Rattus norvegicus: one gene and its partners. The protein of the gene in region 1 purifies or fractionates together with the protein of each later gene. This does not show direct contact. Links are inferred from orthologs where the notes say so. Each region holds a gene or a part of one and is shown in the gene's direction. Other genes may lie near its edges.

Evidence for each region.
Region 2: the proteins of Nedd4 (region 1) and Laptm5 purify together in Homo sapiens (affinity purification with western blotting; 3 studies listed by BioGRID and IntAct, with this or other methods). This does not show direct contact. The link is inferred for Rattus norvegicus from reciprocal best matches to the Homo sapiens genes NEDD4 and LAPTM5.
Region 3: the proteins of Nedd4 (region 1) and Laptm4a purify together in Homo sapiens (affinity purification with western blotting; 3 studies listed by BioGRID). This does not show direct contact. The link is inferred for Rattus norvegicus from reciprocal best matches to the Homo sapiens genes NEDD4 and LAPTM4A.

Annotation. Positions count from the first base shown.
Region 1 is NC_086026.1:82,341,277-82,344,794, forward strand, and holds part of Nedd4 (E3 ubiquitin-protein ligase NEDD4), read left to right. Parts: intron 1-539; coding exon 540-599; intron 600-1,339; coding exon 1,340-1,447; intron 1,448-2,223; coding exon 2,224-2,320; intron 2,321-3,518. UniProt on the Homo sapiens protein: E3 ubiquitin-protein ligase which accepts ubiquitin from an E2 ubiquitin-conjugating enzyme in the form of a thioester and then directly transfers the ubiquitin to targeted substrates. Specifically ubiquitinates 'Lys-63' in target proteins.
Region 2 is NC_086023.1:148,385,374-148,388,891, forward strand, and holds part of Laptm5 (lysosomal-associated transmembrane protein 5), read left to right. Parts: intron 1-1,558; coding exon 1,559-1,684; intron 1,685-2,277; coding exon 2,278-2,400; intron 2,401-3,518. UniProt on the Homo sapiens protein: May have a special functional role during embryogenesis and in adult hematopoietic cells.
Region 3 is NC_086024.1:37,451,997-37,455,514, forward strand, and holds part of Laptm4a (lysosomal-associated transmembrane protein 4A), read left to right. Parts: intron 1-445; coding exon 446-522; intron 523-608; coding exon 609-731; intron 732-1,851; coding exon 1,852-1,947; intron 1,948-2,351; coding exon 2,352-2,450; intron 2,451-3,518. UniProt on the Homo sapiens protein: May function in the transport of nucleosides and/or nucleoside derivatives between the cytosol and the lumen of an intracellular membrane-bound compartment.

The DNA of each region.
Region 1 (3,518 bases):
GGGACAGAGGGCACAGTGAGACTAAGCTGGGGACTAGAGGAGCAGAAAAGAGCTATGAGCAAGTAGCTGTGCCTGTGGTGAGAATGAGTGTCTTCAGTCCTGAGTGGGGCTGACGAGGAAAACGCAGGAAATTAACAAAGGTGCAGTTGACTCACGATTGGGGACTTAGGCAGGATTACTGCAGGTCCCAGGCCAGGACAGGATTCAGTAGGTGAAGGAGAGGAGGAGGAGGGAGCAACAGAAGGGGTGAGGCCCGCTGAGGGGGCTCACCTCCTGCAGTGGGCCTGGCCAGGATGGGGGATGGGCTTCTGTCTGCCTCAGTCTCCTCAGTACGTGTAGAAGGAATGAAGAGGGAGGAGGGAGGATTTAACATAGCCACTTTGAGAAATAAAGACAGGACGGCCACATTAAGATCACAGTGAAGGGTTGTTCATGAAAGTATGCTGGCAAGATCTGTGTAGGAGTGAGTGTTCCATCCACAAGATGCTTGAGCGTGCCAAGCCTGCTAACCAGCTTTGGGCACATTCCTTTCCTTCTAGGGATTTTTTGAACTGATACCACAGGATCTGATCAAGATATTCGATGAAAATGAACTAGAGGTAACAACTGTTTGTGCTGTGCTTGGGAATGTAGTTCAGTGTTGAGCAGTCATGCAGGCCCTGAGTTCAGTCCTCAGTGCCACTGGTGTGGAGGCGAGGGCATGGAGGAGTGGGGAGGAAGGGAGAGTATGGCAGTTTGTGGAGAGAAAGTGGGGAGGAGGAGGGAGGGTGTGAAGCCGTGGGCGCCATCCGCAGCACGGTGTAGAAGGGTGTGGTGGTACATACCCATTAGCCAGCACTCGAGGGGTGGGAGCAAGACCAGTAGTTCATGTCATCCACAGCTACATTGTTTGAAACTAACCTGGGCTACAGGGACCCTGTCTTTAAAAAGAGAACTGGAGGGCCCACAAGATGGGAAAAGCACCCTCCACCAAGCCTGACAGCCCGAGTTTGACACCTAGAGTGGAGATGGACTCCCACAAGCTATCGCTAACTTCCTCACTCACAACATGACATAGACATGCTGCAATACATATAAACATGCAATAGAACAGGGCAGCAAAGAAAATGTTCTGTGTTAAAACAGCTTTGGCTGGATGTAGCGATGCATTCTTCCATTCCCAGCACTGAGGGACAGAGGCAGGTGACCCTCTGAATATGAAGCCAGCCAGGTCTATACAATGAATTATAGAACATCCAGAGTTATGTAGTAAGACCCTGACTCAGGAGAGGAAAAAACCCAGAGCTTTGCACCGGTTTTCCCTGCTCACAGTTCTGACTGCGTGTCTGTCTGTCTGCAGCTTCTCATGTGTGGTCTGGGAGATGTGGACGTGAACGACTGGAGGGAACATACAAAATACAAAAATGGATACAGCTTAAACCACCAGGTCATCCACTGGTTCTGGAAGGTAATCTGAGGTTCAGTCATACTACGCCACCTGTAGAGTGACTCTCAGAGTGTGTCGCACTCTGAAAAGTGCACCAGCAAAGCAGACAGGCCTCTAATTTTGCATAAATGCCTTTGAATGTGAGTCTACCCTTCTTGATATCCAGAGGTAAGTACGGAAGGCATTCAGAATCGTAGGAAATGAGCTGAAATAAGCACATCAGTTTTCACCAGTGTGAGGACTGTCTCGAAGAACTTGTAACATGGCTCTTCTAAATTCTTAGATATGTGACTTTTAGTAATATGTAATTATTGTAAAGGTTTTTTTTTTAAGTGTGTGTGTATACGTGGTTACATGAGTTTATGTCACATGTGTACAATACTAGTAGAAGCCAAAAGGTGTAAGATCCCCTGGACGTACAGACAATTGTGAACCAACATGTGCATGCTGGGAACTAAACCCAGGCCATCTGCAGGAGCCGTGAGCATTCTTCACTGCTGAGGCCCTCTCCATTTCTGAGGGAAAAGCCTTAGAAATAAGTTTTTTGAGAATAAGAACAAAACCTTAGTGATTATTCTCTAAACTCTAATGACTTTTGTTTTTCGAGATAAGGGTTCTCTGTGTAGCCCTGGCTATCATACTAGAACTCATTTTGTAGATCAGGCTGGCTCTGAACTCAGCGATCCACCTGCCACCACCACTGCGGGGTGGGGCTTGGGGTGTCAAATGGTTTTTCCAAGACAGTTTCTCTGTTATTTTCAGTACTCTTCTCTAGCAGAAGTCTTTCTGTTTTTCAGGCTGTTTTGATGATGGATTCAGAAAAAAGAATACGCTTACTTCAGTTTGTTACTGGCACATCCCGTGTGCCTATGAATGGATTTGCTGAACTCTATGGTAAGAGTCCTGTGTAGATTCTCAGAAGTGCACAGAAGCTGACTGTTATTTTCATAGCTGAAGAGTCTTTAAGTTTCTACCATTTCAAGTCTAGTTTAACTTTTAAAAATTTAGTTGAAGGCTTGGGAGACAACTTGATTGGTAGAGTGCCAGCCTAGACCAATTGGCAAGCTGCAGGTAGGTAAGAGACCCTGCCCTAAAAAGAAGTGGATGATGTCACTACCTTCTGTCACTACTACTATCTTGGATAGTGACCAAGAACCTGGCATGTGGCTGAGTTACTTTTCGCCGTTGAGCATTGAGCTGCGTTCTGTAGTCCCAGAAACAGCAGCACCTCTAGCCCAGTTCCTTCCTTCCCAAGCTTCCTAACGCTACAACCCTTTAATGCAGTTCCATGTGTCATGCTGACTTTCGTTGCTACTTTATAACTGTAATCTTGCTACTATTATGCATCATAATATAAACCTTTGTTTTCCAGAGGTCTTAGGTGACCCCTATAATGGGGTCGTTGCAACCCACAGGTTGAGAACCACTGCTCTAGCATACTGGGTGGAGACAGCAGTGAAACAGCGTTAGCTGACATCTATGCCATAGTAGCCTTGGAGGATACATAGACTACACTAAAGAAAGTCTAATTCCCTCTTACCCAAGGACTCTCTTCCTGCTGCTTCAGCTACCACAGACATTCAGTCCACAAATCCTAAAGGGCATTTCAATAAAGAGCAGAGAGCGTAGTCACACGCCTGATGTGAGGTGTGCATATATGCACACCTCCAGCAAACACAGATTAGGAAGAACTCAACGATTTCTTAGGAACTTGTTAAAAAAATAAAGTTAAATTAAGAGTAAGTTTTCCCAAGCTTTCTTGAGCAGAGAGTCCTTTTGTGATTTGGTGTGAGGTGTGGGTAAAGCTTCATTCTTGTGGAAGATGGGGGGATCCCAGATAAGATCACACATAGCTCCCACTCTCCTTTCCTTTTATTTTTCATTTTAGTTTATATGTAATCGTGTTTTCCCTACATTTATGTCTTTGTACCATGTGCTTGCCAACGGAGGCTAGAAGAGGATGTCAGATCCCCCAGTGCTACAGTTATGGGAGGTTGTGAGCCACACAGTGTGGGCTCCTAGCAGCTGAGCTCTCTCCAGCCCCAGGACTAAAAGTTATAGTGGGATCTGATCATAGAGGACAAAATATAGA
Region 2 (3,518 bases), on another chromosome or scaffold:
CTTGTCCTCAGGGACAAAGGCCTCCCCTTGCCCTGCACCCACTGCAGTGCGACATTCACTCATGAAACCCTGGGAATGTGAGACTGTACTAAGAAAGGCAGACGGACCCAGATAGAGTTGGGGTGACTTGGGGGGATGTGGGGATTGAGTCACCCTGTGGCTCTACTTCCTACAAAAGAGGAGCCATTTGCTCCATGGTCCCCAAGGAGATAGGAAGTTGACCTTGCCCCTTGACCATGTGGAGAGACCCCGGCCCTGCAGATGGTGGAGTGCTGGTTGCGTTGAGAGGTGGAGGCTGAATGCTGGCCCGGAGTGTCTCACTCCCTGGCCACCCTTGTTGTATCTGGGAGCTTCACCACCTGGAGTGTGTCCTCACAGTGGTGTGGCTGTGGGGCTGCTGCAGAAATTCAGTGTCCAGCTAAAAAGGCAGAGCAGGGAGCCCCAGACAGCGTGTCTTGGTCACCTCTGAATGGCTTAGATAACCATGAGACACCCCCCTCCAGGATACCACCTTTTCTGTGACTTTGCCTCAGTAGGGGCTTATGTGGATGGATGCGGGGTTCCTACCAGGGAGAGAGACACTGACTGACTTCCTGAGTCCTCTTTCCATGTCCTGTCACATCTGGCTTTGACCACCTGGAGGAAGGACAGGCTCTTGTCCCTGGGCCTTTACTTGCTGGTGCCTCCTTCTCCGGGCCAGTCCCCTTACCTGTCAAATTCTGGATCTAGCTGGGTGTCCCTTCCAGGATGTCCTCTCTGGTCCCCTTCTCTGTAGAGTGGACATCATACTCTACCTTGTGGGTTCCGCCCTCAGAGTCTGTCGTTCAGCTTCCACTGCTGGGATGACAATACTCAAGAGAATCATCTAGGAGGATTCGCTTTGGCTCTTGTTTCTAGCCCACGGTGTGCTGCTTGCTGGCTTTCCTTGGCTGTGAGATGAGGCGGGACACCACAGTGGGGAGAAAGTGGCGTGTGTTTGGCAAAGCTGCTCAGTTCATGGTAGCCAGGAAGGAGAGGAGAAAAGGGGGTGGTGGATAAGTGCTGAGGACACCCCGAGTTACCTATAACCATGCCCCCTAGTTCACATCCTTTCCCTCTTGCTGAGCTCGATTAGCGAGTGCTTGCCCAGCTCGCACAAGGTTCAGTCCTCAGAACTGCACAGATAAGGCAGGGCGGTGCACACCGGCAACCTAGGCACTCTACAGGTAGAGGCAGGGGACTTTACAGTTCAAGGTCATACCTGGCTACACAGGTAATTTGAGGCCAACCTGGAATACATGGGATCCTGTCTTGAAAAAAGTCAAAAGACATAAGGTCAGACAGACAGAAACAGAATCCCTGTATTGGAAGCCTGTTTTCTGGTGTCTCCTGAGACACCTGGATGCCCCTCTCCCCAGGGTGCCCTTCATGGGAAGGTGCATGGATCTGGGCAGGCCCTAGTCACTGATCTGGTAGCATCATTAACAGCCAGGGTGGGAACAGGATGCATGGGGACAGGGATAGCACTGTGGAGTGCTGGCAGTCAGGGGCACCCTGACAGGGTGGACTTGCCTTCTAGAACCGGGAGAAGTACCTGATACCCTTCCTGTCCCTTCAAATCATGGACTTCCTGCTGTGCCTGCTCACACTGTTGGGCTCCTACATCGAATTACCAGCATACCTGAAGTTTGCCCGGCCCCGGCCCGTGAGTACTCATGTGCATGGCTTGACCTGGGTCCTTGATATCCTTCAGCGGGGTCCCCTAATCCCTGCCAAATGCCCTCAGGCTCTCTCCTCTGCATGGTGTGCCTGTCAGTGTACCTCATGGGTAAGCCTTAGGACTCTGTGAAAGTGGCATGGTAAGATGTCTATTTACACTGGGCGTGAGTGGGTTACTCAGGGAGAAGGGCCGGGTGCCTTCTCAGGCCTCATCCTTAACTTGATTCCTTCTTTGGAATCGAGCAAGATGAATGGATAGTCAAGACCAAGAAACGAAGACCATCCACTGAGGAAAAGTGTGGTGGCCTTAGCTGGTTACAATACACACAGCTCTACCATGGTTGCCTTTCATAGTCCCGACTCTGGTCCTTGAAGGATGGGACTGCTGGAAGGTGGGGATACTGGGGAGTTAGAAGACCCGTGTTGTGGTCCCAGCTCTGCAGACATGAACATCCCGTGTTCCTTTCACTGAGCATAGTCAATGGGGGAATGGCTGGGGGCTTGGGTGGAGACCCTTCCAAGGAAGGGCCACTCGGAACCTGCTTGTGGGTCTTCATGCTTCCTCTTGGTCCACCTTAGGGTCCTTCTAAGGTACCCTTGATGACACTGCAGCTGCTGGACTTCTGTTTGAGCATCCTGACCCTGTGCAGCTCCTATATGGAAGTGCCCACCTACCTTAACTTCAAGTCCATGAACCACATGGTGAGTCTAGGGAGGAGGACCAGGTCACACCTTGGCTGTGTGGCCTGGGGCGAGGCATCCCCCAGGCTGGGCAGGTCATGGATGGAGGTTGGGTTTCTGGGGAGGAAGACCCGGAAGACTCTAACAAGGCCTCAGCCTCTAATATTGTGTGTGATGGATTCGGGGAGTAACTGTCAGAGAGAAGCTTCTAGGGTCAAAGGCGGTCTGGCCATGTTGAGCTTCACAGCATCCTGCCCTGGGAACTACATTATAGGAATGGCATCCCGTGTCTGCTCCTGTCTAACCCACTATGGCCACGCATGGTGGCTTAAAATGACCAGGTCCTCTCGCAGCTTGAGGGACAGCAGCATTGGGTGGCTTGCTAGGTGGTTCAGTTGCTGGTTCAGCATAGCAGCTAGGAAGGGGATGGGTGACCTGCTCCCCCAGGGGTACTTGTGTGTACAGTGTTTGTACCTTCTTTACCCAGCTCCTCATGGTGAGGACTTTAGGTAGGGCAGAGTGTCCTCAGGGCATGGCTGCTGGCTTTCCCCAGCGGAGGGATTGGGAAGGAGAAAAGGAGGCACCAAGAATGAAATCTTCATTTTGGCCTCTGGTTGGCTGCTCCTGAAAGCTCACATCAGTCCCTGAATGATTCTGGCCCAACCTCCAGGGAAGAGGCCAGTGCTATTTATTTCAGAAGAAGGGGAGCTAGGCTTGGTGCTGCTTGCCTGTAACCCCAACACCTGCGAGGCTGAGGCAAGAGGATTGCTGTGAATCTGGGACCAGTCTTGGGTAGCAAGACTGTTTTGAAAAACAGACAGGCAGATAGCATGTGTGGATGTATCTGCTCCTTGCCCAGAGGTGATGCATCTCACACCTGGTACCCCAAAAGTTAGTCTTGGCTGGAGCTACCCTGGTGGCGGTGGGTGTAACCTGCCAGGAGTTAGAGGACTAGGTGGCTCCTAGCAACCAAAGCCTTCTCAGACTGGGAGGCACCAGCTATATACTTCTTCCCCTGAGGCTCCTGAGTTGGGAGTTGCCAAGGTGGAGTATATGTATGTGTGTGTGTGTGTGTGTGTGTGTGTGTGTGTTCATGCGTGTGAGTGTGCACGAGTATGTATGCATATGTGTTCATGTGT
Region 3 (3,518 bases), on another chromosome or scaffold:
CAACTTGCCTGTTAGATTTGTCTCTTTGCACATAGACATGTAGAGGCCCAGGGGCCTGTTTCCTGTGTTTGCATGGCTCTGGTTCCGTCCTCACAGAGTCAGTGAGTTGTTGGACACGGAAAGGCATGCGTAAGCTTCTCAGAATTTTTTTTTTTTTTTTTTTTTTTTTTTTTTTTTGGTTCTTTTTTTCGGAGCTGGGGGCCGAACCCAGGGCCTTGCGCTTCCTAGGTAAGCGCTCTACCACTGAGCTAAATCCCCAGCCCCTTCTCAGAATTTCTTACTGTCAGGCTTAGGTGCTTTTCTTGGTCTTAGATCTAACGAGGTCCAATTTTGAAAACAATTACAGTTAATTTACACAGAAACATTTTAAAGCGTCATTTTGTCAAGAATTTAGTTTCTTTCATTGCATATGTTGCTTAATTAGATTTCTGTTTTGTTTTCTTAGATAATGCCTGCGTTCTTTTTGCCGTCTCTGTTCTTATGTTTATAATCAGTTCAATGCTGGTTTATGGAGCCATTTCTGTAAGTCTGCCATGTTTTCCTCTCTCCATTTGACCTGTAGCAAGTAGTGATTTTGTACATATACTGATGTTACTCTCCTTCTACAGTATCAAGTGGGCTGGCTGATTCCTTTCTTCTGCTACCGACTTTTTGACTTCGTTCTCAGTTGTCTGGTAGCCATCAGTTCTCTCACTTACTTGCCAAGAATCAAAGAATATCTGGATCAGTTGGTAAGAGTGTTTGCTATTTAACATTTCCACTTAAGTAAAACATTTTAATTGAAATCTAAAGGTAGCCTTGGTACTATTTTTAACTCTTTGCTTTGTACAGTATCTTAAAATCACACCTATGTTAAGACCTGTAAGATAGAAATAAATGATTGTTGTACCATACCATTTGGACAGCAGAGTACTAAGTCCGTAAAGATAGTGTAGAAGAGATAGTTGAGTTAATTGTGTTTTAATAAAATATTCGACTGTATTTGAGATTCCTAAGGGATTGGTGTTTGATCTTTAACAGAATGCTAGCCTGTATCTGTATACCTGCTGTATACAGGTATAGGCTAGTCCTGTGTCTGTGCCCACTGTACCCTAGCCCTATGTCTGTGCCCACTCTGTTCTAGTCCTACCATGTTGTTGGGGTGCCTACTGTATTCTAGCCCTGTGTAGGAAATGTTAGCTGTTTAGGAAAACTTGCTCTCTTACAGACTCTGGTGGTTTTTTCCCCTCTGTTTGATTGGTGTTCTTTCCATTAGAAGGTATTTCTTCTGCTGGCCAGTTTTAAACACTCCCTTCCCTTCTAATGCCTTTCTCCTGACTTGTCCAGAGTCAGATGAGTGCAGCCGATCTTTTCCAGCACAGTGAGTCTGTGAGCAGTAAATTATGTCCTTCTACCTGGCTTGTAGACAGTGGCATGTGTTCTTTTTAACTATCATCTAATGAAGAGTTGAGATCAACATTTGACTCCTAGAAAAGTTACTTTTCTTTGTGGAAGACTGTGCTCCTAGAGACTTGAGCAATCTCAATTCCTCCTGACTTTCTGAACCAGGACAGGGTTGGGGTGCTGTACAAGTGGTTATATTTTGTCAAAAGCACAAAGATGAAAAATACTAGCCAGCAAAATGAATATTAGCTCTATTCAGACCTTCTAGTTATCTCAGCTATTAAACAAGCAGACGGGAGTGATTAGTCTGTTGATGATAAGGGTCTTGGATGTGCTGCATTCTTTGTGTGAATTTGCAGTAGCCTTTCACTCTTGACTGTTGCCCTTTGTTGTGTTCTTAAAATGCTCCCTAGATTTTCAGAAGCAGAAGGCTGTGGTGTAATTGTCAGTGCTTTTGTGTTTTAACAGCCTGATTTCCCCTACAAAGATGACCTCCTGGCATTGGACTCCAGCTGCCTTCTGTTCATTGTACTTGTGTTCTTTGTGGTATTCATCATTTTTAAGGTAAGGAGTTTCCAATTCACTCTTGGGGCCTGGTGAAACTGCTCAGTCAACCTTTTTCCAGTCTTGTGTCTGTATCCATACACATACACATAGTTGATGGAGGATTTGTAGTGTCGGTGTCACTGCATTTAAGGGGTGGGTCCCCTTTGTGTTTTCAAAAGTGGCTCATGGTTTATAGGGAAATCCATTAAAATTCCTAACATTTGAGCGCAGGATTTCCTCACAGCCTGTTGATTAGCAGACCTGAATCTCCAGCTAGAGTCTCTGTGAGAAACTTGTGATGTTTAAATGAGAGCCAGTCAGGAGTGAGCCTGGCTTGACTAGGTTCCTTTTGTACAGACAGTGCAGAAGAGATGATGGTCCTCTGTTCCCAGAGCAACCTGCTGAACTGTTTCTCCTTTCAGGCTTACCTAATCAATTGTGTTTGGAACTGCTACAAATACATCAACAATAGAAATGTGCCAGAGATTGCCGTGTATCCTGCCTTTGAAGCACCTCCACAGGTTAGCTGCTGTTCACTCACCAAACTGTCACTCCTACTGCTGCCTCCAGAAGTGAATGTGGGGCTTGACTTTCCAGTCGTTGCTATAACTGTGGTTTGGAATTTGAATAGCTTGAACCCACAAATGTATAAGATTTAGCATTTTCCAGGAATCTTGTGCACACAGGTCTAGAGCTCTCTGCACTGTTTGCCCAGATTGACTGTGGTCCCCACAAGTGTTTCTGGACAGATACAAGCTAGGAATATCAATAATTGGCTTGTGAGAATTCTAAGGGATGAGGGCTAATGGGTGTGTGTGTGTGTGCGCGCGTGCCCACTTGTAAGATCCAAAGCCTGGGCCTTGGGGAGATGATTGTGATGGCATCTGAGTGCCGAGCCCTTCTCTTAGAACCCTGTTTGCTGCTTTGCTATCTTCGCAGATTTTCAGCATATAGAGTAAACATGGCCCATGAGCCAGCCTGTCACTTGGAGGATAGGACCTTAGGCTAGAGTGAGCTTTAAAAAGGCTTTCTATTATCCCAAAGAGCAGGATAGGAGGTCATTGTCCTTTCAGTACAAATTATTATGAAACTACAGACACTGGCAGCTTTCTCTAGAGCAGTTAGTGGGGCCTTTCCCCCTAGATCCTCAGTTCTTGAAATATTAGCACTGGAACTTTATTGATTGACTGTCAAGAGAGAAACCCTTTATATTTTTTAAATATATGTGGGTTAGTGTGTTAGTTTATCTTCCAGGTTAGTTCAGAGGAAGAATTCTAATTGTCTTCTATCCATCACACTCATCTATTCATCCATTCCCATCTGTCTACCCATTCCCATCCATCCGTCCATCCATCCATCCGTCCGTCCGTCCATCCGTCCGTCTGTCTGTCCGTCCATCTGTCTATCTGTCCCATCCATCCATCCATCTGTCTGTCCGTCCATCTGTCTGTCCGTCCATCTGTCTATCTGTCCCATCCGTCCGTCCGTCCGTCCGTCCGTCCTCCCACCCACCTAGCCATACAGTTGTGGCGATCTTGATCTTGAGTTAGGGTGTCACTGAGTTGAAGCTGCTCAGTTGTCTGTTGTCT